Astyanax mexicanus: one gene and its partners. The protein of the gene in region 1 purifies or fractionates together with the protein of each later gene. This does not show direct contact. Links are inferred from orthologs where the notes say so. Each region holds a gene or a part of one and is shown on either strand. Other genes may lie near its edges. The genes, in order: ctnna1, tes and B-cadherin.

Evidence for each region.
Region 2: the proteins of ctnna1 (region 1) and tes purify together in Homo sapiens (affinity purification with mass spectrometry; 3 studies listed by BioGRID and IntAct, with this or other methods). This does not show direct contact. The link is inferred for Astyanax mexicanus from reciprocal best matches to the Homo sapiens genes CTNNA1 and TES.
Region 3: the proteins of ctnna1 (region 1) and B-cadherin purify together in Homo sapiens (affinity purification with western blotting; 10 studies listed by BioGRID and IntAct, with this or other methods). This does not show direct contact. The link is inferred for Astyanax mexicanus from reciprocal best matches to the Homo sapiens genes CTNNA1 and CDH1.

What each region holds. Positions count from the first base shown.
Region 1 is NC_064409.1:75,354,647-75,365,687, reverse strand, and holds the start of ctnna1 (catenin alpha-1), read right to left. Parts: upstream 4,597-11,041; 5' UTR 4,321-4,596; intron 1-4,320. UniProt on the Homo sapiens protein: Associates with the cytoplasmic domain of a variety of cadherins. The association of catenins to cadherins produces a complex which is linked to the actin filament network, and which seems to be of primary importance for cadherins cell-adhesion properties.
Region 2 is NC_064417.1:17,743,254-17,754,391, reverse strand, and holds the start of tes (testin), read right to left. Parts: upstream 5,137-11,138; 5' UTR 5,004-5,136; coding exon 4,977-5,003; intron 1,930-4,976; coding exon 1,844-1,929; intron 1-1,843. UniProt on the Homo sapiens protein: Scaffold protein that may play a role in cell adhesion, cell spreading and in the reorganization of the actin cytoskeleton. Plays a role in the regulation of cell proliferation. May act as a tumor suppressor. Inhibits tumor cell growth.
Region 3 is NC_064430.1:28,567,011-28,578,062, reverse strand, and holds the start of B-cadherin, read right to left. Parts: upstream 4,801-11,052; 5' UTR 4,682-4,800; intron 2,141-4,681; 5' UTR 1,864-2,140; coding exon 1,813-1,863; intron 1,567-1,812; coding exon 1,452-1,566; intron 1-1,451.

The DNA of each region.
Region 1 (11,041 bases):
AGCTGAACATCCAGATAGATAACACCACTGATTTTAGGAATAACAAGCGCTGCTAAACAGACACAGGCAGCTAGCAAGCTGAAGTTAAGGATTTCACATATTGTTTGGTACTTTAGGATTTAAATGGCACACACTGTTTAAAAACAACATCTAGAAATACATGAATATGGGTTAAGAAGCTTATTAAAAAAAAGGTGTAAAATTAACTAATATAAAATACAATCAAATCAAAAACACAGGCAGTTAGCCAGCTAAAGTTAAAGAGTTATCCCAAATGTTAATACTTTTTGTTTTTTGGATTTAATGTGACATTTTTGAAAACAAGTGTTTTAACATCAAGGAATAAATATTCAATGGTTTGGAAACTTTAAAAATTAGTTTTTTTAATTTTAAATCTAAGTTAAGGTTTCTCCTATATGTAGGTACTTTTTGGGGATTTAACGTCAAAGATGTTTAAAAACAACCAGTTTAATGTCCAGGAATAAATATTTATGGGTTTGGAAGCTTTTAAAACTTGTTAATTTAAACAAAACAAGGAAAATCTAACCAAACAGCTAGTGAGCTAAAGTTAAGGATTTCTCCTATATTTTGGTACTTGTTTAGGAAATACTCACATATAATGAATTAAATGTATTTAATGCTTTAATAAAACAAACATCCAGGCATAACTATAGATGGGTTTGGGGGGCTTTAAAGTCGTTAATTTAAGCAACAAAAAGTGGAAAATCTAGACTAAGCCCGAGGCTGTAGGGAGGACATTAAACCTTTAAATAAAGTGATATTTGTAATGACTGTATTCGTTAGAAATTATGTAATTGTCAACTGGATGAATTAAACTGAACAGAAATTGAGTAGTAGCCTATTACTAATGGTTGTAACTGGCTAAGAGGCATGGGACATGTTTCTCCAAGTTTACCTGATATACATAAATATACTTTAAAGACAAAAACTCAAATAGCCTAACTTACTAGTTATCTAACTTTTATATCTATTCTCCCTCATTTTGGTATTTTATATTCAGGAATAAATATTAGTCGATTTGGAAGCTTTTAAACTTGTTAATTTACCAACAGTGAGGAAAATCTAACCAAACACAGGGAGCTAGCCAGCTAAAGTTAAGGATTTTGCCTTTATTTAGGTAATAATTTTGAATTTTAATAATTAATCATTTTAATAGATGGTTCAATGCTGGTTCAAAGGTTTAAGAACAACTGATTTAAAAGCTTCCAGAACTCTGTATTTATCCGTGGATGTTAAGTCATTAATTTAAGTAAAAAGGCAAAATAAATCGGAACTTAGCCCCAGGCTTTAGGGAGGAGTCCTAAATATCCCACCAGTTGTAGTCAGGGGGGTCAGCAGGGACAACATATAACCTAGCTAATCCTTAACAATAAACCTTTAATAAAGTCATATTTTTAAGTACTGTATTCGTTAGAAATTATGTAATTGTCAACTGGATTTACAAATTACATTCTGAGTAGTAACCATTACTCATGGATGTGATTGGTTAAGAGAAACGTGAAGGGCATTATAGACTCAAATGTATATGTTTCTTTAGGTTTATCTGATATATTAATATACTTTAAAGTCATAAAAAACTTGGATAACTTGCTAGTTCTTTAATTAAGCTATCCAAGTTGCCATCCAGCTACCTAGCTAATTAGCTTAGCTTAGCTTAACCAAGTAGCATTAGTTAAGGGAGTTTGGGAATGCCACATTTTGGTACTTTTCGAAAATGTAAATGCCACATTGTTTAAAAACAAATGTTTTAACATCCAATGATATTTCTAAGTCGGGAAGCTTTTAAAACTTGGTTATTTAAATCAAATAAGAAAAACCTGAACACACACAGGCAGGTTTGATATTAAATGTTATATTTGATGGTTTTAATAGATTGAATTGTTTAAGAACAAGAGTTTTAACATCTAGGGATAAATATACAGGGTTTTGGAAGCTTTTAAAAAGTTGTAAATTTAGGCAAAAGGGCAAAAAATCTAAAATTAGCCCCAAGCTTTAGGGAGGAGTCCCAAAAATCCCACTGGTTGTGGTCAGAGGGGTCAGTGGGGACAACACAGCCTAAGCTAGCTAGTTTCTTTACCTCAAACCTTATAGTAGTGATATTTTGTGTGTTTAATTTGACAATTAATGTATTTGTAAGAAGTTATTTAATTATCATTTGGACAAAATGTATTTTGAGTAATTAAACCGTAGCCTATTACTCATGGTTGTGACTGGCTAAGAGACACAGGAAGGGCATTATAGATTCAAATGAACATGTTTCTTTAAGTTTCTGAAATATAAATGTACTATAAAGACCAGAAAAAAAAACCTTTAAAAAGATAGCTTAACTAACTAATTAGTTATCCAAGTTGTTACCCAGCTAGCTAGCTTATTAGCCTAGCTTAACCAAGTGGAATTAGTTAAGGAAGTGTGGGAATGCTATAGAGTGCTAACCAAACACAGGGAGCTAGGCAGCTATAGTTAAGGATCTCTCTTATATTTTGGTATTGCTTAAAAACTACTGTTTCAACGTCCAGGAATGAATATTTATGGTTTATTAAGCTTTTAAAACGTAGTAATTTAACTAAGATGACGAAAACCTGAACAAAACACAGACAGCTAGCCAGCTAAAGTTTTTATTTGCCTATATTTAAGACTTATTTTGAAACTGAAGGTCATATTTATTGTTTTCATTGGTTTAAAACAACTGTTTTAAAATCCAGGGATAGATAGTTAGATGGTTTCGGAAGCTTTTGAAGTTTAGCTTAAATAAAATGAGGAAAAACTAACCAAACACAGGGAGCTAACCAGCTAAAGTTATTGATTTCTCCCATATTTTAGAACTTTTGAGATTTAATGTCACATATTGTTTGAAAACATCTGCTTTCACATCAAGAAATAAATAAATATGGGTTTAAAAGCTTATTTAAATGTGTCTATTTAACTAAAATGAAAGAATATAACCAAACACAAGCAGCTAGCCAGCTAAAGTCAGGGATTTCTCCCATATTTTGGTAAATAATATTTTTTTTAGGATTTAAAGTTACATTTAATGTTTTTAATGGATTTAATGGTTTAAAACAACAGTTTTAACATCCAGGGATAAATATATATGGTTAATGACGCTTTTAAAACTTAATTTAAAAGGAAAACCCAACCAAACACAAGCAGCTAGCCAGCTAAAGTTAAGGATTTTGCCTGTATTTAGGTACTTATTTTGAAATTAAATGTTATATTTAATGGTTTTGATGGATTTAATGGTTTAAAAACAACTGTTAACATCCAGATATAAATAAATATGAGTTTAAAAGCTTATTAAAAAGTGTAAATGTAACTAAAATGAAAGACTCTAACCAAACACAAGCAGCTAGCCTGCTAAAGTTAAGGATTTTGCATGTATTTAGGTACTTATTTTGAAATTAAATGTGATATTTAACGGTTTTAATGGATTTAAATGTTTTAAAAACCAGGGATAGATATTTAGATGGTTTTGGAAGCTTTTAAAGTTTAAGTTAGTTCAAATGAGGAAAAACTAACCAAACACAGGGAGCTAACCAGCTAACGTTATGGATTTCTCCCATATTTTAGAACTTTTGAGATTTTAAAAATCACATATTGTTTAAAAACAACTGTTTTAACATCCAGAAATAAATAAATATAGGTTCAAAAGCTTATTAAAATGTGTAGATTTAACTAAAATAAAAGAATCTAACTTAACCAAACACAAGCAGCTAGCGAGCTAAAGTATTTTTTTTTAGGATTTAAAGTTACATTTAATATTGTTAATGGATTCAATCGTTTAAAAACACCTGTTTTAACATCCAGGGATAACAATATATATGGTTAATGACGCTTTTAAAACTTAATTTAAATAAAACTAGGAAAACCCAAACAAACAAGCAGCTAGCCAGCTAAAGTTAAGGATTTTGCCTGTAAATAGGTAACGTTACTTATTTTGAAATTAAAATGTTATATTTATTGGTTTTAATGGATTTTATGGTTTAAAAACACCTGTTTTAACATCCAGGAATAAATATAGAGGATTTTTAAGCTTTTAAAAGTCGGTAATTTGTCTAAAAAGGCGGAAAACCTGCACTTAACCCCAGGCTTTAGGGAGGAGTCCATAACTCTCTCCTGAATGTTAGCTGAGTTAAGTTATCCCACAAGTTGGAAAACCGGAGCGCGAATTTTCACAAACTATCAACTTTCAGCTCCCTTTTTCCAGCTTTTTCACACAAACTTCATATAATACGAGCTTCACAATCAAATTAAAGCCAGTTAAAGCGAGGATTAGGCTGTAAAACAGTAAATTAAACTCACCGAAACACGATAAACACAAAGTTAAGTTGGGCGAAACCTCAAAATGGAGGAAGAGCGGTTAAAATTCCGGTGAAAGTTTTCCTCCCGCCGCTGATCCCGGTATTAAAGCTTTCTCCGGTGGGTGAAAAGCCCTGCACACGCACTCAGACCGCGGGTAAAAAGGCTGAAATGATCCTCAGCTGGTTTCCTCAGCAGATCCGCGCTATACACACTTTCTGAACGCCTCGCTTTTCTCCCTTTCAGGGCTGTTCTGGGTGGGAGCGGAGGGGGGGAGGAGCTGTTCCTGGAATGGCGGCAGTGACGCAGCAGGCGGAAGAGGGGGAGGGGGCTGTTCTCAGGTGAGGGCTGGGTGTGGCTGCAGGCTCGAGCTTCACCTTTACCGCTTTATTTACCTGTTAATCTTCTCTCACACACATTACACACAGGTTCAGATTACAGAACAACACATTAATCCCCCTCAGCTCTTAGATCTGCTGATTTATACCGGATACAGACCAGCACAGACTGCACACTCCAGCACTAGTAACTACAAAACTGCACATTTAGCTTAAATACCTCTATTTAACTGCTGAAAATACAAAATACATCTAGATTCTATTTATTTTACGTTATTAAGTGAATTGTACGAAGCCCCTAAGGCAGGGGTGTCCAAACTTTTTTTGTTGGGGGCTAGAAGGAGAAATATATTTGAAGTCACAGGCCACAGACTCTGTAATAAAACAAATAATGAAATATACCACTTTAAATAATACATTTTCCTGATTACTTTCATTTACACACCATTTAACTTGACTTACTATCTTTATCTTTGACAGTGTTGTGTAAACTAAGATTTTTCAAATTGATGTTTAATTTCATGATGTCTCTTAATATTAAACTCCCTTAATTACGGCAACCTTTAGACTATTTGGCCCATTTTTTCTGCGCTACAACTGCTTTTTTTTCTCACATTATAAAAACCTGCTTAACAGCGGGCCAACGTTCATTCTATTTCTAAAATACCTTGCGGGCCGCTCCAAAAAAGGAAACGGGCCGCAAATGGCCCACGGGCCGTAGTTTGGACACCCCTGCCCTAAGGTGACATTATGTAAAAAAAATAGATGTGTGCTATCATAAATCATCATAAATCATTAAGAGATTAAAATAAAAATAAACCAGTTTACTCTCTATTTTCTTACTAAAGATTATCTTTGGATTAAAGGAGCTTTGATATAATATTCAGTTTTTTCATGAGCATTAATTTACAGAAAAGCCAGCTTTATTTTTCTTGGCTAGATTAAATTAACTTGTTCCCACGCCTTAATAAGTCGTGGCCACGCCTTAATAATCTCGTTCCCATGCTTTAATTATCTCGTTCCCATGCCAAATTATTTTATTCCCACGCCTTAGGATCTCGTTCCCACACATTTTTTTTTTACATAATGTCACGTTAGGGGCTCCATAGGGGGGAATTGCTATTTCGTTGATTTTAGATACTAAGTAATTTGCTTGAGATACCTTTAGTCATTGGGCCATTCCACCAAATGGGTGCCATTTCTGTCTTTTTCTGTCTCCAGTAAAGTACATGTTTAAATGTGCACACAAAATAACTTTAAAATACAGTTTATTATTAAGCATAGTATCTTGTACATTACCCAATTGCAAAAGTAAGATATGCAATTAAAAACATTAATAAAAACTACTTAGAACACTGAAAAAATAGCATTTGTTATTTGCCCCCACTGTCTGACTATAAACTTTACCATGAAATATATATATATTTTTTTTTGCATTGTTGTGTGACTTTAAATCCCATCTATGCTTTAAAAATATGTTTTTCATAATTAATTCATAATATTTAAAGGTCCCATTCTACCGTTTTTTTAAATCATTTTAAAACATATCCTTGTGGTCTCTAGTATAAATGAATGCTTTGTGTTTTTTTTTTTTTTTTTAAGTGCTCCGGTGTTTTTATTTAGCCCTGCTTTAGATCACTGAATTACTGGTCTCTAAAGAAAGTCATGATTTGGTTCTTGCTATTTATATGCAAATATATCACTGATTGACATTTTACATCTCTCTGATCAACTTGTACTTCTGAGGATTTTCTTTCACAAACTACTGCAGACAAGGGAGCCTAAGAATCAGTTTCATGTGCAGCATCATATACAATTCATAGAGACCTACAGTATTTCACAAAGAACAAGAAAAGATATATTTCAGCGGAAAGAGACCTTTACGTCAAAAAACACACTTTAGTTGTGTCCCTGGTTTTCACTCGGTTCTGTTACCGTAACACATTACCCCATCTGGACAATCTGGAACATTCTACAAGTCACATCTAGAACAGGAAGTGACATCAGCTGGTTCTTCTGAAGATCATGGGAAGACAAAAATTAAGTTCAACTCATTAGTTTTTATGTACATTTGATTTGAAACTCATTCCTGTTACTTTCTTTCCTGTTACTCATAACATAAAAACTAACACTAAAATGAGTGCCACTAAAAGGAGGTAGTTCCAGTAACAGGACTGAGTGCCTTTAGCAGGAGTGATATTTTTTCATGGGCATTAATTTACAGAAAAGCCAGCTTTATTATTCTCGGCTAGATTAAATTAACTTGTTCCCACGCCTTAATAAGTCGTGGCCACGCTTTAATAATCTCGTTCCCATGCCTTAATTATCTTGTTCCCATGCCAAATTATTTTCTTCCACGCCTTAGGATCTCGTTCCCACATTTTTTTTTTACATAATGTCACGTTAGGGGCTCCATAGGGGGAATTGCTATCTCGTTACTTTTAGAAACTAAGTAATTTGTTTGAGATGAATGCTAGTCATTGGGCCATTCTCCAGTAAATGACATATATAAATAAAGATAAAGATAAAAATAAAGAGTCAAGAGTCATAAGTCATTTAGACAAGATTTTCCATTATTTTTGAGATCTTCTTAATGTTCTCAATATTTAGAAATTATTTCTGAATATTTTGAGATGTTGTTTCATTACTTTGAGACACAATCTGGTTATTTTAAATACAAAGTCAGAGATATCTGGTCATGATGTGGAAATATCTTGTTGAAATTTTGTGGTAATTTTTCTTCTCTTTTACGATTTTATTTAGGGACGCTCGATGTAGGAATTCTTGGCTGATGCTAATCCTTGATATTATACATGTACTACTAGTGCATCTCAAAAAATTAGAATATCATTGAAAAGTTACTTTATTTCAGTAATTCAGTAAACTCATTATATAGATGTATTACACACAGATTGATCTATTTTAAGCATTTATTAGTGTGATTGCAGTATGCAATCACAGTATTGTTCTTCTTAAGTCTTATTCTTCTTCTTATTATTATTATTCCACCTGTTTTTTGTCCGGTTAACTAGTGCCGCAGTTTTCGAGATATCGACTTCGTTCAAAAGACAAAACGTGCGTCCTTATCGGGAATGGTGGGCTTGTATACAGCTTTCCGATCGAAGTGTGCGCTTTTTTGCCCATTGAAAATGAATGGGCAGAACTTTGCACGGCCGTGTACGTCACAATTTTTGAGATACGAAGATGAAACCAATTGAGGACCTGTAGAACTTATTGAGCTCTTTCCGAAAATATGCGTCACGAAACGTTACGACATACGAATTTCGTACGATTGTCGTACGAAGTGGCCCCATAGGAATGAATGGGGCCATCGGAGGATGGCAGCTAGATCGAAGGACGGCAGCTAGAACTCCAGTACTGTGTGTAATGGAGCCACGGGTCAAAAGTTTGGGTACCCCGGCCAGCACTGCAATCACACTCGCAGTTTCTGTAGGAACTGCAATCTAGTTTCTTTTATTGTTGATTATTTTGGCTTACAGCCAATAAAAACTCAAAAATCAGTGTCTCAGAAAATTAGAATATTATATAAGATCAATTGGTACTTTTGTCAGTGTGGGCAGTGTGCCAAGTCCTGCTGGAAAATCCACATCTCCATAAAAGTTGTCAGCCGAGGGAAGCATGAAGTGCTTTTCCATTTTTTTAAAAATGATATAATGCATATTGTCTTCATATCTAGCTTAAAGAGGTAAAGCTGAAGCTGTTCACCCTGTCAAATAATAAAAATATGAAAATATCACAGTAATTAAAATAAAGAAAGAAAGTCAAAATGTAATTTTGAAACAGAACAAGAACAGTCACCATGAACAATTCAACATTTCTGCAAATTTAGGTCAAACATGTTTTCATTAAATGCCCGTTTTTACTAAAATCGTTTATTCTCTCAGACAGTTTGCCATAGAAGGGTGGACACATGCATGACGGGTTTAAATAATAAGTGAAAATAAAGAGTAATTATGATGGAACATACATACATTTCTGTGTAGTCTATATTCTTATACATGTGATAATTATATCAAAAGAATAAAAATATACCCCTATATGAGTTTACCCTTTTAGTACACATGGATACAAGATAATGCAAATGTTTATCATCATCATTATAATTCCCAACACATAACTAATGCAAAAAGTCATGTTTTTTCCTTCCATTTCAAGCTGTTTTATTTCTGTTAGGTTAAAGCTTAAGCTGTTTTAACGGCTAGTCTTAACCCAGCCAGATCATTACTGTTATTTAAATATGTCTTGAGTGTCGTGTTCATTTACATAGCGCTCAGCAGAGCAGACACACTCCCCCGCTGCTGGGCAGCCATTCAGACGCTCGCAGTGCTGCGTTAGACTTGGCCTAGAATGGCACTCTTATTAAGGTTAGATTTCACGCCAACCTATCTATCACATCTACCTCCTCCTCCTCCAGCATGAATCCCTCTTTCCTTCAGTTCCAGACTACAGAATGTGGACAGCCCAAGCTCTTGGCATGTTCTTTTATATTCTCTCTCTCTCACACACACACACTCACACACTCATCCAGAGGGCTAATGTATAAAATATAATGTACTTCTGTACTTCGGTTCAAATGTTACAATGTTCTCCAAGCCCTGCAAGCCTCAACCTCCTCCACTGTCATGAAAACGTCTCAGTCAGGAGCTCGGCCAAATATCTGAGCTGAGCTCCTACCACTGTACAGCTCACTCTCACGCAGTGTACAAACTTAAATCAGGAAAAAAGTTGGGACAGTATGGTAAATGCAGTGATCTTTGTTGAAAAATGCTCTTGAAGCCAACATACAGCACTAGTGCATCTCCAAAAAATAGGATGTCATCCAAATGTTACTTTATTTCAGTAAATCAGTTTAAAATGTGAAACTCATATACTGTATTATATAGATGTATTAAACACAAAGTGATCTGTTTTAAGCGTTTATTTATTTTATTGTTTATGATTATGAAGCTTACAGCCAATGAAAAACCAAAAGTCAGTGTTTCAGAAAATGAGAATATTATATAAGAACAATTGGTACTTTTGGCAGTGGGGGCAGTGTGCCAAGTCCTGCTGGAAAATGAAATCTGCATCTCCATAAAAGTTGTCAGTAGCAGAGGGAAGCAGCATGAAGTGCTGTAAGATTTTGTGGGAAAACAAAACTGCACTGACTTTAGACTTGATAATAAAACACAGTGGATCAACACCAGCAGATGACATGTCTCTCCAAACCATCACTGATTGGTGGAAACTTCACACTTCAAGTCCAAAGTCAGTGCAGTGTTTTCCCAGACCATCTAACACTCTTTGCTCGGTATTGTTCTTGTGAGTGTTTATCCTTTTCTTATGCCTTTTTTTGTTATAACCCTTTTTCGTCTTCGGTTTACTGTCTTTATTTTGCTGATTTTTTTGTAGTTCTTGGTGTTAACCTCTGCCTGAATCTCATTTACTCCTTTGGATCTTCCCTTGTGTAATGTTTTGCCTTGGATCTTACTGACCTGGACTGTTTTCTGCATTTCTCTTTTGAGCTGACCTTTTTCTAAGAAACCCTATTGGTTGTTTTTTTTTTTTTTTATCTACGAGCATCTGATTCACTCCCTGATTGTTACATTACCTTTTTGAAGAATTAATGTTTTGTGTTGACCTGCAACTGTAAAATGCAATTGATCATAATATAGGCACTTTCAAGGCATCATTTAAAATTAGTATATACACAGGATTTGTACATGTTTTTGCATAGTAATCATTATATTTAGGTTCTAGAAATTGAGACAAGTTGTTTTACTGTCGCATTAGGGTATTTTTTTTGGCTTAGTTCTGGTAGTATTCTCAGTTTAAGAGCCACTAAACCCTAAACCATATTATTTTAATTAATAGCTAAAATGTGTTCCTTTAAAGTAATGAAACATACCAGTCCTGCTTATAATTTTTATAAACCTTTCCTAACCTTTAAAAAAAACGCTTTTATTTTGGTTATTTTCCTCCTCTGCAGCGCCCTCTCAGGTTTAACTGTGCTATAGACTTGGCTGATGTTTGCGTGTACTTTGGTGCACAGACAAATCACAATATGCAAATCAGTCTCAATAATACCCCACCGCCCCCTCTTGCTGACGTCCAACCATCTGCGTCTCACCACTATCAAAGGCACACTGCTGCTGCTGCAGCTCAGCCAATCAATCTTTCCCTCTTGCCCTGCCCCTAAACCCATACATCACCCAGTGCCCCTCCCATTTTTTAATTTTTTGTCATTTTGAAATTTGAGCTGAGGGTGGAGTCAGCTAAAATCAGAGGTTTTAGTGACTTTATTAGCTCTGGATTAGAGTGTCTGCTAAATGTTATAAATGAAAATGTCTAAAAACAACTCTTCATATAAAATTATACATAGGCTC
Region 2 (11,138 bases), on another chromosome or scaffold:
AAAAAGTAATCAAAAAACTGAATTCCTTCAGTAAAATATAGATACTATAGATATAGATAAATATAGATAAGTATTATATTATATTATTTGAAAAATGTTTATAACAGTGCTCAGAACTGTTATTTTTTAGCAATTTGAGTGGTGTGAATTTTGGAACTGTATGCTATAATGAGGTGACTTTCAACACTGTCAGATTTAAAGTCTCCACAGTCAGAGGGAGTTTCATTTGTTTTAAAGGAATATGCTTATAATATGTATAATATGTTTATTCAATGCTGTAGAGTTATTAAAGTAATGGTCCGTTTTAATACAAATTCTTTTATTTAGGCTTAAAGTAAACGTTGTATGATGTTAGATCATTTAAAGCATACATGTCAAACAGTATAAAAATGAACAAACGTTAATATTTAACATTATGTGTACTAAGAATGTCAAATCAAATCTAAATACATATTAAAAGCAATCAATAAAAAACAGCCAAGACTTTAGTCTATAATCATAAACCAGATTTTGTAATTTAACTACCGTTTTATTTTCAAATCTGTTTTATCCAGATTTTAAAGAACCAGTGATTTGCAGGTTAAGTTTCATGAAAATCATTTATTGAAAATACTTATATATATATATGTGGCAGCCATGTGGGGACCAATGGCATGTGGATGACTAATTCGCTTAACTGGGGGTAATAGTTTTTGACAATTATTTTAAAAATTTTGAGGGAATTTCTTAAAGGCCATGTGGTGTGTTTATGTGGAATAATCCAAGGATTGTTTAAAATATATCTAACATTTAAGGGAATTGTGGAAACAAAACTAAATATAATGCAGGGACATGTTGAGATCATATCATTTTAGGTTAGCACAGACAACTTCAGAACATGGCCATATTTAAGTTGCCAGAGTTGGGTTGCTCTTAAACAAGAATCATTGGTCTTAGATCTGAATGTGGGGCTACTTAAATATGCAATGCTAAAAGGTTAAAAGACCTTGTCTAAAATAACCACTTTCAATCTGTCAGGAAAGCAGAGAACGCTAACAATGGCTAACAAAGCAAAACCCAACAACGTCAAGAGGAAATGCAAAGTCACCCTGCTGCCTTAGAAAGAAAAAAAGCAAAAGTGAATTGTTTCCGGTGACTCTTTGGAAGCTGCTTTGTTTGGAGCACAAGTTTACAGCTTAAATCCTCAAAGATAAATGATTTCAGTCTTTGAATGGTCTAGCCCCAACCAGTTCACCAGACATCATTCAGAACACAATGGTCATCTCCTTCCCAGACTGAAGGTTTTCAACAATACTCCCACTGTGTCCCCATGTCTAGGGCTGAGTGTGGGGCTACTGTGGTAAAAGAAAAGGGGCACAGTTTGCACTCTGGCACCTGTAGAGTGTTCTTTAAGAAAACTAGCCGAGTGGAATTCATGGCAAGAACACTCCCACTGAGTCACTGGGTTTTCCTTTCTGGATTTTGACAAAATAAAAAGGGAAATGTAAGCTGTAGAAGAAAAAAATAAAATAACAATGGGAGTAAACAAGAGAGCAAATTCTGCAAGGGTCTCAACAGAACAACATAGGAACGCACTAAATGTGCAGAGAATGGGGGCACCAGGACTATTACTAAGAAACAATAAAATGAATTATCCCAAGCTATTATGGACTGCAATCGTATTTATTTAATTTTAAAAGAATATTAAGTTTAGCTAGTGTAAACCACAGGGCAGCTTTGGTAAAGACATACATTTTGATGTGACATTGATGATATCAGTCGCACAATGAAACTCAATGGCAAAACCAATGATGATGAAAAACACAATGCTAGGCGTGCATTAATGAATAAACTCTATACATACCTCCAGAAGTGCAGCTCAAATCCCTCACATTTGTCCTTGCATTTAAGACAGGCGGCGCCAGCTCCTACCTCATGGCCCAGGGTAATCTGCCAATACAGCACAGGAACATCTCAGCATTATGCACAAATCCTGCTTAAAGGCTTCTTTTCTAGCCTTAAATCCCTTAAGAGCAGCTTTTCGCTGAGACCAGTTTTGATTGTGAAAGTGTGATACTGTCTGAGAGGATATTTCCAATTTTTACCATTTTTTATAAACACACTGTCTGTGTATCTAGGTCACTGTTACTTAGACAAAACAGCTGTTTATTTACATACTTTATGAACAGTCTGTAAGATAGTTCAGTCATTTTCACTTTTCACTGCTGTCAGTACACTGAAGAGCACTGCCAAAATTTTCCCACATCATCATTCTTCCTGTGCACACCAAACAGCTACAGCTGGGATGGCTATATAAGGATAAGTATTTGAGGGTGTGAGGAAAAGCCTGGGGGCACTAAATAGTCTTCTCCTGTTCTGAAAGCTTTAGTCCTCTGTTGCGGTAAAATAACGGAGTTACCCCACCTCTCAAGAGGCCTAGTATCTCTGCCTGGACTTTTACCACAACGTCCTAACTAAAGTTTATAGGTTCTACTAACATTGCAACTAATATTTACACTAATCCCATTATCTACCAGCAGCATATAATTTACCACTTATGAGAACCAGACCTTGCTATGCAGGAACATGTGGCATAGAGAGGTGTCACCTGGTACTGTGTTGTGCCCCGATCACTACAAAATGCTCGATCAGATATGTAAAAAAAGGGAAAGCATTCTTGGGTTTGTAGCCATATTAGGCACCATATTAATAAAACATTATTATTATTATTATTATTATTATTATTACTTATAATAATAGTATTATGAGTAGAAGTAGTAGTAGTATAAAATAACTGCTAGCACTCCCGTTCATACTAAATAAATGCTTAAAATAAAATACTGTATCTCTATGTCTGCATTTTAAGAGGTTTAGTCTGACCTTCACAGCTGTTTCTTCTCTGTGCTACTGTGCGTTAGATGGCAGTATGTCAACACTAAAAACATTATTCACTCGCCTTAAAGTAAATGTTTGTGTATGATTCTCTTCACATCTTTAAACACTTGAGCCTTTCCTTTCTCCCCGTTCAAATGGAAGTAACATCAGCACACTAGGAACAGCATGCAAGGTACAGCAGGCTTATATTTACTCCACTTTAGCATTCTGATCAAAACAAATCAGGACCAGTCCTTTCTACATTTTAAACATTCTTGCTCTGAAACTAAGATAAATTACTTTGTTATTATTTTACCCTCATTAAGCACTTTGCTAGGAATAGCTCAATTACACATTCATTCAATTATCTAATTAGTGACGTAGTAGCATTGCAATGCATAAAACCATGCAGATTCTAGCCACCAGCTTCAGGTCTTCACATCAACCAGCTTCAGATCTTCACATCACCCATCATGTATGCAGACAAAATGGGATTGTTGGTGTCAGAATTGGTTTGAGTTTTTTTCTTCTGATCACTTTTCAGTATATACTTCAGGATTTCTGTGGACAAAACATGCTTTGTGGCAACAGTCCAGTTACTAAAGGCTACTTCAGCATGACACAATGTCACAAATCAAAAAACATTTTAACACAGGTCTCATGAACATGATCGTTTGTTCAGTGGTTTTACTGACCTCTTGAGTCACCAGATCTAAGGCCTTTGGCATGTTGTAGAACAGCAGATTCACTGCATGAAAATAATATGCAGGAATTGTGAACATGAAGTCATAGTTAAAAAAGGGCCGATTCAAACACTGGGGAATGAATGAAAGGCCTTCAGTGAGGACTCTGCACCTTTCTGACATCTGACCCACAGTTGAAATGACGAGGGCCATGATGGACGACTAACATCCGAGGAGACAAAAGATACCAGTTATTGATTTTAGTTAAACCATACACTGCACTTTTGTTCTGTCATAGTCTTACTGCAGACTATTCTCATAGACGTTCTATTTAAGGTCTTTTTATGTGGCTGCAGAGGAACATGTACATTTTATAGATGTTAAGATTTTGAAACACTTCTGTAAAGATCTGACTGTATTCAGTCACAGGAGCACTTTCATTTGGTAATTTAGTGCTGAAACTCATCCAGCTCATCCAAAAAGTATGGGATAGAGCTCCATCACCCCAGAGTAAACATTATATCCTTCTAGTCATGGGTAATGGTGACCTTAGGCTGGTGTACAGCTGTTCCAGGAAGTATCCCATTGTGCTGCCAATGCTTTTCTATAGCAATTTTACCAACTGTCAATTACTATTAGATGAGGTGTCTGGACACTTAATGAACGCAAAAGGATACGTTGGTATCCTAGTTGTCTACAGGTTTGGGCCTAGCCTGCTAACAAAAATGTTATTAAATCCTATTTTGTGTGTTTTGCCTAACCATCAGCGCTTGTCGTAAACAATGAACAGCTGAAATAAACGAAATAACAAAATAAAGCCCTTCCATGATTCTGACAATGAAAACTACCAATAATAATAATAGATTTAAAGGCTCATTCTAAATAAATGTGCTCCTCTACAGAAGAGAGTTAAGCGAGTTGTGTTGGCAGGTTTCTCTCTGGCTTCAGTCGTGATTCAGCTCTAACCTCAGCCTCTCGCCATCATGGAGAACTTCCTTCTCTACCGTCCTGGGCGTTTCTGGGACCCCTGTCACCTTTACCGGACACTCCCTGATCAGAGCAGGACTCTACCGGACTACACAGGACTCTGTCGGACTACACAGGACACTCCCCAAACCGAGAAAGACAGTACCAGACCCTCCCCGAACCGAGAAGGACTCTACTGGACACTCACCGAACCGAGCAGGACTCTACAGGACACTCCCCAAACCGAGCAGGACTCTACCGGACACTCCCTAAACCGAGCAGGAGTCTACCGGACTATACAGGACACTCACCAAACCGAGCAGGACTCTACCGGACACTCCCCAAACCGAGCAGGAGTCTACCGGACTATACAGGACACTCCCCAAACCGAGCAGGACTCTACCGGACACTCACCGAACCGAGCAGGAGTCTACCGGACTATACAGGACACTCCCCAAACCGAGCAGGACTCACCTTTTTCACCTCCTTTTCGATTTCCATTGCGGGTTCTTCTATTGAGCTGCTATAGGGAGGTGGGCTCAGTGAAGGTAACTGTGAGACAGTGGGACTGAGCTGCAGGTAAAGTCCGGGGTGAATAAGCTCCTCCTCCTCCTCACTCTCAGTTCATTGTTCACTCTTCCTCTGTCCTCCAGCCTGCAGCTCTCAACCAATAGTCTGAAACCACCGGATTCAGAGGACCAATCAGAGCCGAGCACGGATCCTTCCGCACTGAGAGTGTAACACACGGAGGGGATGGAATAGGCGTGTTGGAGAAACAGCAGCGCCTCGACCAGGGGGCGCAGTTAGTGGGGTGAGATGGGTGGGGTGAGAGATGAGTGAAGTCGGACAGTCTCCACCTGCAGATCTCACGCTCTTATAAAAGAAACATTAGTAGAACTTCCTCTGATATTGTAACATTAAACTGCATGGATATGAACTAGAATAAGAACTATGGAGAACAGCTAGGTTACTATTAGGAACAAAACTATATTATAAGCACTGACTACTGTGTATTATTTATATGAGAGAATATTAGATTATTAATGTTATTATATTTACATTAATAATATGAAGAATGTCACAAAGAACAAAAACTAAACACAGCAAACAATACACAATGCAAACACTACACACACCGAATACTACAGATTGCAAACACTACAATACGCACTGAAAACATACACACTGCAAAACTACACTACACACAGTGAACACGCCACACACTAAACACTACACACACTGAACACTACAGACTGTACACACTGTACACACAATACACACAGCCAACACTAAACACAGCCTGAGCCACTTCATTACTCATTTCAGCACTATCACAGAGGAAGTTGTGGCTTTACTTAACAGGGTGTGGAGAGTGTGAGCATGCAGAGCTCCATTTTACACACACACACACACACACACACACACACACACACACACACACACACACACACACACACATTTTCTCTCTCTCCCTCCCTCTCCCCACGAATGTGAGTAGTAGAGTGGAGCAGAGGTTTTGCCAAACTTTTAGCTGTTTGCTTTTAATTTAATTCTGTGGATTGTGTTTGTGTAGTTAGATGTTTGTTTCCTGTGTGTGTGAGTAGGTGTGTGTAGCTATGTAGTGTGAGTAAGTGTGTTTCTATGGAGTGTGTGTAGCTGTGCAATGTGAATGTATGTGAGTGTGTGTGTGTGTGTGTAGCGGTGTATTGTGTGTGTAGCTGTGTAGTGTAATTGTGTGTGTATCTATGGACTGTGTGTGTGTAGCTGTGTAGTGTGAGTGTATATGTAAGTGTGTGTAGCTGTGAAGTAAGGGTGTGTGTGTGTGGTTGTGTAGCTGTGTAGTGTGAGTGTAAGGAAGAGTTCAGAATCAATAATTGGTAAAATAACCAAGAATTTTAAATCAGTTTCATGTGTCTCAAGTCAAGTCAAGTCAAAAGCCTTTTATTGTCATTACATCTGAGTACAGGTACACAGTGTAGTGAAATTATGAGAGACTCCGATGATCTTCTCAGCTGTCCTAACTATCCGCTGTAGGGTCTTGCGTTCCAGTGTTACAGTTCCCAAACCAGACAGTAATGCAGGTGCTCAGGATGCTCTCTGCAGTCCCTCTGTAGAACATGGTGAGGATGGGAGGTGGGAGATGTGCTTTCCTCAGTCTCCGCAGGGAGTAGAGGCACTGCTGGGCTTTCTTTTTTATGGTGCTGGTTTTAGGGGACCAGGTGAGGTTTTCTGCAATGTGAAAACACAGGAACTTGGTGTTCTTTACAATTTACACAGCAGATACGTTGATGTTCAGCGGGTGGTGGACACCTGGTGCTCTCCTGAAGTCGACATGTTTATCCACATTTAGAGATAGATTATTGGTTCTGCACCAGTCTGTCAGCCACTGCACCTCCTCTCTGTATGCTGACTCGTAGTTCTTGCTGATGAGGCAACTACAGTTGTGTCATCATCAGCAAACTTGATGACATGGTTTAAGCTGTACTTTGCAGTACAGTCATGAGTCAGCAGGGTGAACAGCAGTGGACTGAGCAGCTCTGGGAGCACCGGTGCTCAGTATGGTGGTGCTGGAGGTGTTGTAGTTCAGGCCCAGCAAGCTCAGTTTTGCAATTAGATGCTGAGGGATGATGGTGTTGAATGATGAACTTAACTCGATGAACAGCATTCAAACATAGCAGTCTTTGTTGTCCAGGTGGGTGAGAGCCAGGTGGAGTGCAGTTGAGATGACATCATCTGTTGATCGATTTGGATGATACGCAAACCTTCTGTGAGGAGAGGGGGCTGATTTTTTATGTGCCTCATGAACAGCCTCGCAAAGCACTTCATTTAGGACACTTGAGACTTCTTTGGCACAGGAACGATGGTGGTCGTCTTAAAGCAGGTCAGCATGACCGCAGTGCTCAGAGAAATGTTGAAAATGTCTGTAAGAACATCCGTGAACTGGTCTGCACATCCTCTGAGCACTCTGCAAGGTAAGCTGTCTGGTCCTGGGGCTTTCCGAGGATTGATTCTCAGTAGAGTTCTCCGCACATCAGCTGAGGACAGGCACAGTACCTGGTCGTTTGGTGGAGGTGTGGTCTTCCTTGCCGTTGTGTAGTTCTGAGCTTCAAACCTTGCGTAGAAGGTGTTCAGCGCATCTGAAAAAGAGGCATCACTGTTACTAGCAGGTGGGGGTGTTTTGTAGCTGGTGATGGCCTGGATGCCCTGCCACATGTGCCGAGAGTCAGCACTGTCCTGGAAGGGGGTGTGGATTTTCTTTGCGTAGATGCGCTTTGCCTCTCTGACCCTCCGGGAGAGCTTGGCTCTAGCAGTTCTGAGGCCAGCATTGTCCCCTGACCTGAAGGCCTTGTCCCGGGTTCTCAGCAGCACACGCACCTCAGCAGTCATCCACAGCTTCTGGTTGGGGTGTGTTGTGATTGTTTTGGAGACAGTATAATCATCAATGCACTTGCTGATATAGCCAGTCACTGAATCTGTGTAGTCCTCCAGGTTGATGGAGTCTTCAGAAGTAGCATCTCTCAACAAGTATGTTGCTACATACACTGCTATTATGTACACGTTGCTTAGCTCTCTGGGCAGGTAAAATGATCTGGCTCTGACTATAGCGAAACTCCACCAGCGGCAAGCAGTAGCTGGAGACCAGTGCAGCGTTGTTACACCATGCTGTGTTGAAACACACAAACCCCCCCATCACCCCCCCACCCCGCGGGCCTTACTGGACATGTCCGCGTTGCTGTCCGCACGGAAAAAGAGCATGCCGTCTGGCTGAATGGCGGTGTCTGGGATTGAGTCCGTTAATCACTGAACACACGGCAGTCTCTGAACTCGCGCTGAGTTGTCCGCTGGATCCGGAGGTAGTCCAGTTTATTCTTCAGGGAGCAGACGTTGGAGAGAAGGATGGACGGCACCACCATTGCGAGTTCAGATAGGGTTTTAACAACAATACAAAAGAAAAAACACTGTGTTTTGCTCCCAGAATGGCCGCTGCGACTGACCTTATGCAAATCCTGATGCAAAAATTTAAGCAGTTCAGCTTTGTTTCATCTTCTTCTTGATTACATTCTATAGATTTTCAATGGGGTTCAGGGTCGGAGACACTGTCTTGATCTGGTGGTCCTTCATCCACACATTAATTGATCTAGCTGTGTGGCATGGATAATTGTCCTGCACTGTCCTCAGAGTTGGGGAATATTGCCAGAGCAGAAGGAAGCAAGTTTTCTTCCAGGATTACCTTGTATGTGGCTTTATTCATGCGTCATTTGCAAAGACCAAACTGCCCAATTCCAGCCTTGCTGAAGTGTGAAAGATTTTGGAGAGCATGCCCAGATGCATGAAAGCTGTAATTAAAAATTAGGGTCAAAGAAGCCAGAAGAGGAGACGGGGAATAAGGTGGTGCAGATGAGGAGTTCAATGGATGTGAAGGTGATAATGAAGGTAAAGGCTCCATGTCTGACTCTGGCTAATCTGTGTTCTCAGGATGTGTAAGAACCAACCACATCTTAATAATTATAGACCATTAACTTTAATTATAATTTATAATAATATTGATTATCAAATATATGCAAATAGAGTTGATATTTAATAAATCTGATACTAATTTCTATATCAGATATTAGTATCAGTATCTATATATATTAGTATCTAGTATCTATATACGTAAATATATAATAAGTGTTTTTAAAATGTATGTTTTTTCTTGTGAGTTTATAAATATGGTGTTTTATGTAAAATCCATGGTAAGAGTTAAAATAAATGGTCAACTCACAGAGATCTTTGAGATTCTGAGAGGTGTAAAAGTGGTCTTTTAAGTGCTGCATTCTATGTTTTAGTTCTATGTTTTAGTATTAAACATGGTTTCAAAAAATAAAGAATGTTGCTTATTCATATGGGGCTCACGGAGAGAAACAGCCAAAAGAGACTTGATGTTTAAGTGGAAAAACAAGGAGGACTAGATGCAATAAATGTAAATTAAAAAAATAAATCACTATGTGTAAAATTATAGCAAGCGCTATTTACAGACAAATAGAATGGATAGGCAACATAACACTATAACTGTAATATAAATTAGTTTACTTGGATTCGTTAATATATTTAAAGAACAAAATATTAATTGGTTCTTTGACTCAAATACAAATATAAGGGCCATTTCACTGAATCTGTGCCATTTCTGTCCCCAAGCCAGAATTAAATCAATCTTGTTGGATTACACTAGAATTTTTTTTTTTTAACAGATAATGGGTTATTCATAATTTAATCAAACCTTCATGCAGGATTAAATGCTTCAAGTTCGTATTTAAAAAAAAAAAAAAGTAGAAATCTTGGATACTTTTGATTCCAAATAACAGGATAATTTTCATCCCACCTTAAGAGTGGACACACTTGAGGACACACTTTGCACATAAATTACTTGAAAATAAACCTGTGTTCTGTAAATGTGATTTAAAAACACTTAGACATGGTAAACATGTTTTAACAGCATTTAAAACAACTTTTTACCATATAACGAAACAGTTTGATTACCTTTATTCAAATACATTGGCAAAAAAAGAAACAATTGTGCATAATTCTGTTTGTTTGGGTTTAACAGAGAGTCAGTTTAACAATATCTAATAGTAAACTTATTAATGTTTACTTACTGGGAGTATATTTTACAATAACATGCCAAAAGGTCAGTTGAAGGCCTTTAATAACAAGAAATAACAAGGCCAGCTTCTTTTATTTAGTTTTTAAGGAGGACAATTCAAAATTTAGCATTATTGTTTAACTTGTAGAACATGCTGACCTAATCAATACAAACTGTGTTGTGAGATGACCAGGGTCAGTGCATGCTGCAAGAATCTTTAAGGAGAGCAATTTTTTCAAGAACTTCCAGCAAAAGCCCTCAGATGACATCATATTGGTGACAGTGGTTACCCACTCTAACCATGGTTAATGCCACCTATTGAACTTTAACCAGGCCCATGCAACAGCTAGAGGGACAAATGAACGATTAATTGGGGTCCTGAAAAGACTCTTTGCTTGCTTGAACTACCGACGTGTTCAGCCAAAGCAAACATGCAACATCACCTGCGCCTGCATTGTTCTTCACAATATAGCACGAACACGCAAGGTCCCTCTCTACAATGATGGACAGTCGGCTTTTCCTCAGCGTTAAAATGGGGGTTTTGATTTGCTACAAACAGCACTTCTGCCTGAGGGACCAGCTGGACAGCCAAGGAAGAATGCCATGTTAAACCATTATTTCTCTTGTTATAATTAAAATTGTATTTATTGTGATGTGTTTACAATGTCTTCTAAAATGGACAGTGATTATTAAATGTTCAAATAAAAAAATCTCTCTTAAAGTGGTTTATTAAAGATATCTCTTTACCACTAACAGAAAATGACAAAACATCATTTGTCCAGCAGATGGCCACATAAAGAAGTTAAAAAAAATGTAAAATCCAGATCTAGAAATCCTTATCCTGTGATACCTGAATCAAATATATCCAGTCTGAATATGTTTTAAAAAAATGTAGACAAAACCTGTGATATAATTTAGAATTTTGATAGGAAAATGGGGGATTTGATTATCTGGAAAAATTGAATCAAGATTCAAAGTTTTGAAAAACCAGATCCAGGAAATTACATGTATAA
Region 3 (11,052 bases), on another chromosome or scaffold:
GGAGGAAGAAAAAAAAATCCCCAAGAAAATGGAAGAATAAGCGCTAAAAACAGCTGTAGGCTACATTACTCCAACAATGAAACGCATTATTCTCAACATGAGAGGCCTACACGCCACGAACATACAAGACCAAACATGAACACTAGGGTTCCTCAGCCTTTTTTAAAACACAACAAGTATCGACCTTCAACAGGGCGTCGACTGAAACTCGCCGAAGCTCAGCGCAGCTTCAGTTAAGTTTCAGTAGGAAAAGATCAATACCATTTAATGGTTAGAAAAAGATACAACATGTTTAAACAATTTAAATCTAAAAAAAACAAAGTTTAAAAACCTAATTACATATACATTTTACAGTTTACTGTAATTTTATGATATAGGATACTTTACCCAAAATTATTTGGCTCTATTATAAACTCTACACCACCATTAATGAAAGTTGTAACAGCATTTTCATTTTTATGTACATTTTTTTGGTTTAATATACTTAAATGTGGGCAAGTATGAGTGTCTTTTTTTTGGACCATTAGAGTTAGAGCACTGTGTTTCCATTTTCATTACCATTTAGTCTACTTTTTCAAAGTTAATATCAACAAAATCCAGAACAAATCATAGTTTACAGACTTTATATAAAATACACAGAAAGGAAATATGACTAAATCTTAAACACTGAGGGAATTTTCAAACTACTTCAGCAAAAACACAACTTCTGAGCTAGAACTTTATCATATAGCTAGGTTACCAAAGTTAAAATAAGCTTAAAAAAACAAACACTACACTGTACACTGATATATTTAGGTGTGAAAGGAGTTTTTACTCATATAAAAATAAAAACACACAAATCCAGAGCTCACAGAATGACAAAAATGACTAAATGCCAAATATTACCTTATACTTATATATTTTGTATTTATCTAGGTATACATTTTCTGTGTTTACTTTCAATTGTTTGTTTGCAGTTTATATGCAATAAAAACACGCTACACTTTATTCAGTTCTGTTCTAGATTATTGATGTTACATTACTTTATTTTTGTTATATTATAAACATTTTTATTTATAAACATTATTTTATAATATCATGGTCTTAGTTATTTTACAAAACAGATAAACATTTATAGATTTTAGTTTGTTGTGTTGCAGTAGTATTCTCTTAACAATCATTAAAAAACGTTTGTCAGAACCTCGTTAATATCGCAAAAGTACCCTGAAATATCGTGATACTATTTTAGGGCCATATAACGCAGTCTTAATTTTACCAGCATATTTTCCATATAGTCAGAAGACTAAACTTTAAAGTGCAAAAGTATTCATGTTAGTGGTCTTTACCAAAGTTTAAACCAGTTTACAGACAAAAATTCACATTAACAAGTATAAATACTCATCGCAAGAGTCATTTTCCAATTTTTAACATCACATTTCTTAAAAAGTAAGGTTATAAAACCAGTGTCTTACCTCTGCCCAGCCTCCTGCCTCTGTGAAGGTGAGGTCTGTGCACTTTGAAAATGAACACCGCTGAATCAAATCCGTTTGAACATGGCGTCTGATCAGCAAAGCTGGTGGAGAGCACCTGTAATAAAAAGGACGAGAAAAAACACATTCAGCTTCTTTTAACTGTTTTATTTACTGAAATAAACGGATTTTAGTCCAATAAACCCAAAGAAATAGCAATAAAACCGTGTGTAGCTGATGTTTTACTTGGTTTAAATTCATTTAAAGCCAAACTACTAACTCTTAGTTAGCTAAGCTACATGTTTGACCATATTTGTAAGAAAAACAGCTGTTTAAAATCTTCCCCAATTAAAGCAGAACTTACCTGCAGTAGAACGAGAAGAACCCCCAGCCGTACACTCCTTAAAGTCTCCATGTAACAGAAAATAAACCGAATAATCCTCGGAAATCCCCTCTCTCTGCTCTCCTCAGAGCTGGAACTCTTCCCCAGGCTAAATGGAGGAACTGCGAGGCAGCAGGTAACTAGCACAGTTTCTGCACGTGACGCAACCAGGTGACCTCGCCCATCCGCCTCGCGCTGACCAAGTATGGGCACAGGTTCTCTAGGCTCCTCCCCCAAAACTCCAGGTAAGACCTTCTCCGAGTATCTCCCAGCTCCTTCTGCTCCACCACCTGCTGAAGACTGATCTAACCTGCAGAAACGAGACGAAATGTATATTACTACTGTATATAAATACTTTACTACTGTTCTTAAGTACTAAAATACTGTATTTGTGTCTACAGGAGTATAAGTTTTACTTCACTACTGTACTTAAGTATTAAAATACTGCATCTGTATCTCATAGAATGTTACTTTTACTTCTACTCCTACTTTTACTATCTAATGGAGTATTGTTTTTACTTAAGGACTGTACTTAAGTACTAAAATACTGTATCTGTATCTACTGGAGTATTACTTTTACTTCAGTACTGTACTTAATTATTAAAATACTGCATCTTTATCTCATGAAGTATTACTTTTACTTCTACTCCTACTTTTGCTATCTACTGGAGTATTGTTTTTACTTAAGGACTGTACTTAAGTATTAAAATACTGCATTTGTATCTCATGGAGTGTTACTTTTACTTCTACTCCTACTTTTGCTATCTACTGGAGTATTGTTTTTACTTAAGTAATGTACTTAAGTACTAAAATATAGTATCTGTATCTATTGGAGGATTATTTTTACTTCACTACTGTACTTAAGTATTAAAATACTGCATCTGTATCTCATGGAGTGTTACTTTTACTTTTTCTATTGTTTTTTACTTAACTACTGTACTTAAGTACTTAAATGCTATATCTGTTTCTACTAGAGTATTACTTTTTGCTTTACTACTGTACTTTAGTACTAAAACGTAGTATCTACTGGAGTATTGTTTTTACTTCACTACTGTACTTAAGTACTAAAATGCTGTATCAGTATCTACTTGAGTATTATTTGTATTTCACTACTGTACTAAAGTACTAAAATACTGTATCTGTATCTACTGGAGTATTATTTTTACTTCACTACTGTACTTAAGTACTAAAATGCTGTATCTGTATCTACTTGAGTATTATTTGTATTTCACTACTGTACTAAAGTACTAAAATACTGTATCTGTATCTACTGGAGTATTATTTTTACTTCACTACTGTACTTAAGTACTAAAATGCTGTATCAGTATCTACTTGAGTATTATTTGTATTTCACTACTGTACTAAAGTACTAAAATACTGTATCTGTATCTACTGGAGTATTATTTTTACTTTACTACTGTACTTAAGTACTAACATGCTGTATCTGTATCTACTAGAGTATTATTTTGACATCACTACTGTACATAAGTACTAAAATGTTGTATCTGTATCTACTAGAGTATTGTTTTTACTTAACTACTAAGTACTAAAATACTGTATATGTACTCATATTGGAGTATTATGTTTACTACACTACTGTACTTAAGTACTAAACTACTGTATATGTATCTACTGGAGTGTTTCTTTTTACTTTACTACATATTTTGGATGAGTTTAATACTTTTACTCTGATATTTTTTTATGTGCTGAATTGTTATTTGTTACAATTATAAAAATGTTAGAAATCATTCTGAGCCCACATAATCTTTCTTTTCACTGCTTCTGTAACAACTACATAACAAAATATTGTACTTTTTTAGTACTTCAGTACTACATTTACTTACTTGATACTTAAGTACAAAAATGTAAAATACTTTATTACTTTTATGCTTAAGGTTGGAGCTTAAAAAACCCTTCAACTTCTTGATTGAGCACTTGTACTTTTACTTAAGTCTGAAATACATGTCTGGAAGTGAGGTAAGTGAAGTTTACCTATTTATTAGTGGTCAATTAATAAAACAAAAATCAGATTAATCCCAGCATTTTGTAATTAATCACAAGGTTTATCTTTTAAAGATTAAGCTTTTAATAGTGCATATTTAAATAAAATTAGAACATTAGAACATTATTCTGTTATTTAATCATAAATAAAATCACAATACATTTTTTATGTATTTATTTCTCTGCAGTTTTGTAGTGGGACAAACATAATAATGGAGTAGGATTTAGACCTGGCAAACACACTAGAGTAGAGCTACAACTACTCTACTGCAACAACTAATCAATTAAATCAGTTGGAAACTAATTTAATAATTGATTAGTTAATTCTACAGTAAGTTGCAAGCATTAGCATTTTCCCTTCCACTTTAAATATGGCAGCTCCAGCAGCAGATCCAAATCAAGCTGTAGTTTACAACGTTACAAAAAGTTCTATTTTTTCCCTCACTTTTTATCAGTTTTATTAGAGCTTATTTGAGTGTTCAAATAAGACATCTCACATGCATTAAAAAAAATAATCATAATAATTTGACACACAGCAGAATGATGGCAAGTTTGTTTGTTTATCTTTAGTTTAGTCCTAGTGGAGGTCCAGACAAGAGCTGGGCGATATGGTAAAAATACCTGTATCATGAGATGAATCACAATATTTACAATATTTTTTTTTTTATATTTAAAATGATACTCAAAAAATATAATCAAAATGTTCTATAACTTATCCTAAACATTACTAATTACTCTCTCTGTGATTGAAAGCTAATTAATTTGTTAATTTACACTGAAGATATCCACAATATACTCAAAAAAAGTATATTCTGTATCCCACTAACAGAATATATCTCAAAATGCCCACCTCAGTTCAGTTTTGTCTGTGCTGGATCATCCTATCTTCTCCTTGAGAATACCATCCTCATCCTCATGAGTCGATCTATAGATGAGCTACAAAATCCAGCAGCAGAAAGTTTGTCTCAATCAGAGGATCAGACTGAATGAAGAACTGAACTGAAACACTCTGTCTATTCTGACTTTGCTCCTCAGGCTCCTCCTCCATTCCCAGGCCAAGCGTCCAGAACCACCACTGACTGTTTGTGTTCTTAGCAGTGGATGCAGCACAAATCCCTCTGATATTGCATGAATATAATGAACAGCAGGGTTTCTCTTAAATAAAAAGAGCAGCTAAAGCCCTGAGCACTGCTTACTTAACGTACTGTTCATATGAGAGGAAATTAATGTAGAAATAATTATTATATTAAATTATATTATATTACTTTTTAAACTAATATGGCCTACCTGCTGTTTAAATGCAAGCAAATAACACCAGATACTATGTAAAGAGGACAAGATACTAAGTGGTGAGCACAAGATACTATGTGGAAATCACCATATGCGGTATAGTGAGGACAAGATAGTCAGTGGTGAGCACTAGATACTTTGCGGAAAACACCAGAGGCTACATAGTGAAGACAAGATACTAAGTAGTGAGCACAAGATACTATGTGGTAAACACCAGATGCGGTATAGTGAAGATGAGATACTAAGTGGTGAGCACTAGATGCTATGTGGTATACACCAGTTGCGATATGAGGACAAGATACTACACTAAGTGGTGAGTACCAGATACGATGTGGTGAGCACCAAATATTATGTGGTACACACCAAATGCTATATGATGAAGACAAGATACTGCACGGTGAGCACCTGATACTATATTGTAAACACCTGATACTATGTGGTAAACACCAGCTATATAGTCAGGACAATATACTAAGTGGTGGGTGAGCACCTGATACTATGTGGTAAACACCAGATGCTTTATAGTAAGGACGAGATACTATGTAGTAAGCACCAGATAACCACCAGTGTAGTAAGCACCAGGTAACCACCAGTTACTTTGTAGTGAGCACCAGATACTATGTGGTAAACACCAGATGCTATGTAGTGAGGACAAGATACTATGTGGTGGGTGAGCACCAGATACTATGGTAAGCACTAGATACTAAATGTTGGACACCAGAAGCTCTCAGATATGTACCATGTACTATGTGGTGAGCCCCACATAAAATGAGGTAAGCCCCAGAGACTAACATGTAAAAACAACTGTTTACTGCCACATACAGTAACATCTGGTGCCCCTTACATAGTATCTGGTGCCCCTCACATAGTATCTGGTGCTCACCACATAGTATCTGCTGCTCACCACATAGTATCTAGTGCTCATTGTACCAAGTCAAGGAGTGATCAGTCTGCTCAGTGTCAGGTGAAATTCAAGTCCTGTCTAGCCTAACTTTGCTCTCAGGGCTCCTCCAGTCTCAGGTGAAGCCCTCAATGATCACAGCTCCTCCAGGAAAATCTCTGACAGACTGATTTAACATCATTCTTGTGATTTGGTTGCGTTTATTTTGTCTAGTATTCGCTTAAACTCGCCGAGATACACCAATACAATCTGACATCTGATGCTTATTACTCAATTCCACCTTAAAAAGTGAAGCAGTTCATTTTAAATAATAAGTTAAATACTTCCACATCACATTAACACTGCCTTATTTAATGTTTTCATTCCACCTTAAACAGTGAAGCAGTTACAGGTGCTTGGGCTAAACTGCTGCACTCTTTAAGGTGGCAGAATAAAGAACTGCATTTTCTTATTTTCCTTCTATGCCAGTTTAAGAACTGCAGCTGTTACATAATTAGTGTTTGTCAGAGGAACTATAACTTAGTTCCGCTGGAATAACTATGACGTTTGTTATAGTTATTCCACCTTAAATTCTACATCTACCTGCTTAAACACAATCATATTCACATGAATCTCCAGCATGAAATGAAACTCTGGTACTTTAAAGCAGTAACTGTGTGAGGAGCAGTCAGTCTAGAGACAGAAGATAGATGTGATTGGGGATTACATTTCTCTTATATCATTTTAACTACATTTTATCAGCTTCAAAACTTTACATTTTGTCAGGAGGGACAGTGTTGTGCCAGTTCACAGCTTTTCTAAACTAGTTCAAGTTCACTTCATGCATGCTCAAAGTGAACAGTTCACGTTGAAAGTTCACAATTTTAATTCTGAACTAGTTCAAAGTTCAGTTCATTTTACTTTTTTTGTGAGATATTCAAATAGATACTTTTTTTCACACTACAAGCTAGAAATCACTATACGTTCTTTGAAACGGCTCATTGTAGACATTTGATCATGACACTGCGATTGTGGGTTTCTTACCAGCTGATGAAAATGTTCATAAGGAGAATCGGTGTCTGTCTCCCTGCATCACTTCCACTAGACATTTTTTTTTAAATTGCAGAACCAGGTGCATCATTTACAGTATTTAAAAAGGAGAATTTAAAGATGTGTAGGCCTCCACATGGGATGAAGCTGACTGGAGGAAGCTGAAATAGTCTAGTCCAGGGGTTCTCAACTGGTCTTAGCCCAGGACCAGTCGCGGCCCACTTTTATGGAATAGAACGCAAGCAAACTTATTTTTTAAAAATGGCCTTAAAAATCCATTTTAACATACATATGCAAAGTGAATTTACTAGTATTTCTTTAAGAAACTGAGGAGGAACATGACAACTAAATGTTTGCATTACATTACATTACATTTGGCAGACGCTTTTGTCCAAAGCGACTTACAATAGTCAAGAACAAAATAGAAGTTAAAGGTAAAACATTTTTTAGACAGGGCTTAAAGGAGGTCGAAGGGAAATAAAGGGATAGAGAAGTGAAGGAGGGGAAAAAGGAAATGAGGTTAGAAGTAGTTAGTGTGTTAGAGGTGTTAGGAGAGTAAGTGCTCTTTGAAGAGCTCTGTCTTCAGGAGTTTATTAAAGATAGCGAGAGATTCTCCTGATCTGGTAGTGGAAGGTAGTTTGTTCCATCGTTGGGGAACTCTGTATGAGAACAGTATAATATGTATAAATGTATAAAAGTTACAATAATAAAATTAAAAATCAAAACTGTGCAAAATAAAAGAGGATACACAATAAGATATTTCATTAGTAACTCCCTGCCTCTCTTTTTCCCCCAATATAAAAGACAAGTACAAAAAAGCATTATCATTATAATAATTATTATATATTTTTTATGTTTTTTTTTTTTTTCAAGCTGTCTGCGACCTACTCAGAACAAGTCCGCGACCCACTTTTGGCTCCCGACCCACCAGTTCAGTTGAGAATCGCTGGTCTACTCTATCTTTGCTGATAACTGAACGTGTTACAGGCTGCTGTACACAAGGCTGCTCACAGGATCTCAGCAGTTGGTTGATATTTGCTATAACTGAAAGACACTATTCATGCCTGTGCTCTCCTCCCTCAGCGAGAGAACCCACAGTCTGTTCCCGTGGGACGGCCGGAGAGTGGAGCTGTGAGAGGCTTTATCCTTTCCCAGATTCCAGCGATTGATTTTTGTGCTGCCACTCAGCAATCCGGCTGTGTGTTAATCCTGTTTATTGCATAACAAATGTAACTTATTCTGTATTTGTTATTTAGTGAATGTCTATTATCTTGTCTGTAAATCAGAAACAGGGATGTTTAAAGCCATTGCTTTGACCTTTGCATGTGTTACTAACAATTGATTTTAAGCTTTTTTGACTTTGTAAATATAAATAAGTCTATTTAAGTACAACAAGGGTTGGACAATGAAACTGAAACACCTGGTTTTAGACCACAATCATTTATTGTCCCGACGGACAGTTCTGGTGGAAACAGGAGAGTTGAGGTGCACATTGAATTCTGCCGTGATTTGGGCAGCCATGGTTTTATGTTTTTTTGGATACAACATCCCTTTCAGACAGCTTCCTCTTACAGCGTCCACAGTTAATCCTGTTGGATGTGGTTGGTCCTTCTTGGTGGTATGCTGACATTACCCTGGATACAGTGGCTCTTGATACATCACAAAGACTTGCTGTCTTGGTCACAGATGCTCCAGCATGACGTGCACCAACAACTCTGGTATGTCACCCATAATGTTGTGTGCATTGCAATATTTTGAGCAGAACTGTGCTCTTACCCTGCTAATTGAACCTTCACACTCTGCTCTTACTGGTGCAATGTGTAATTAATGAAGATCGGCCACCAGGCTGCTCCAATTTAGCCATGAAACCTCCCACACTAAAATGAAAGGTGTTTCAGTTTCATTGTCCAACCCCTGTATCTACACAAATAATTTAGTGCAGTCTAGTTACTTGAGAATTTCACATAAAATTATATTATGCACTACTTGGTGTTTCTTTGTAAGTGTTTGTCGTCGAATACATTTGTAAATTTGAGTCTAAATGCCAAAGTACAATTTACAACATTTTACGTCCTTACTGATAACAATCTTAAAATATTTTTAAGTCAATGCTAATTGGATTTATGCTGATGTTGAGTTAAGTGTTTTTAATCACTGTTTTAACTTTTATTTAATTTTAAACTGAACTGGAGTGAATGTTGGACTGAATGGTGGGTCACTAGTTTCACTCTGGTTTGATTGATTTGCTGAGCAGAGCTTTTCTGATGGAGTTTTTTTTAAAGTTTAATCCTGATGGAGTGTACACACTTATAAGTGTTCAACTGATGTATTGGTGTATTTAGAAATGGGCACTAGCTTCTGACACTGATAACAACACAAACGGAAATTTCTTAACCCTGTTCCAGCCATTAATTATCATTCATTTGTCAACGAGCCATTAATTCAATGTACTCTATCAGGGCAGGCCACCATACTCTAATCCACAGCCACACTGACCGTCATCCCTTGTTCCTCCATATTTACTCCTAATCATTTAAAACAACTCAGTATATACTTGCTACACCATGGCATCCTCCTAGCAACACCTTAGCAACCAACCACTTTTTTTTATAACAACCAACTAGCAACAGCCAATCAATCAACCCCTTAGGAATGGCGTAGAAACACATTAACAACCATTACAATGCATTAAAATACTGTAGCAACCACTTAGCAACATTTTAGGATCCAATAGGAACCACTTTAGCTGCGCAAGCTGTTTTTTTATGATATTTAACAAAAATAAATTATAATATTGTTTAATATTGTTAGATATTCCTCATGAATTACCATGAAGTGTATTAATCTTTTCTTAACTCAATAAATAAATGTGATTTTAAATGTGATTTTTATATTAAATTGTGATGTTAAAGAAGTTATTGGGGGATCTCAGATGTTTGAACACAGCTCTGATCTGGAACACTGTGGTGAAGATGACTGCACAGTCTTTCCCAGCACAGCCTGTTGTTCTTTAGCTTCTAAAAGCTCTTACTCATCAGACTGCATCCTGTGCGCTGGTTGGTTATTAGGGTATTAATAATGCAGCAGTGTGTTTCAGCGCCCATTTATGCACAGTGTCCATTTCCTCATACCACGAGCAGAATAAACAAATACCTGGACAATGCTGGCTCTGTATTAAAGCACCGCTGCTGCACTGTTTTCTAAGGCAGTAGTTAAGAGAATATTACATTTACTAGATCTTCCAGCCATATGTGTAGCACAGGACCTGGTATGTTTATTCATATGTTTTGAAAAGGTAGCAGAGATATTGGATTAGACAGTAGATTTATTATCTAAACTTCTTCATCTCAGTATATCATTATATTTTATTCATTTAACTAAATAATGACTCATGTTTAATATTTTATTGGATTATGTGAATTATGTTAATGTCAGGTTTTCCAACTACCAAGAAAACCATTACTTTGGATTTCCCCTGTGTTATGTTTTTGTTGAAAATATTTATTATTTTCATAATAATTCTAACAACAAAATACACTGCCTAACCAAAAAAGGTTACCACCATAAAAAAAGGTCATACACTCTAATATTTAATTGGACCACCTTTAGCTTTGATTTGGACGTGCATTTACTGTGGCATCGTTTCAATAAGCTTCTGCAATGTCACAAGATTTATTCCATTCCAGTGTTGCTGGACTAATTTTTCACCAAGATCTTGCAGCAGCATTGATGATGGTAGAGTCTGACCACTGCACAAAGCAGCTCTTCTCCATCCAGCACATCCCAAAGATTCTCAATGAGGTTAAGGTCTGGACTCTGTGGTGAACTCTCTCTCAATCCATGTGTGAAAATGATGATCTCATGCTCCCTGAACCCTGAACTCTTTCACTATTCCAGCCCCATGAATCCTGGCTTTGTCTTATCTTGGAATATGACCGTGTTCATCAGGGAAGAACAAATTATTCCATTGATGGAATAACCTGGTCTATATTCAGTATATT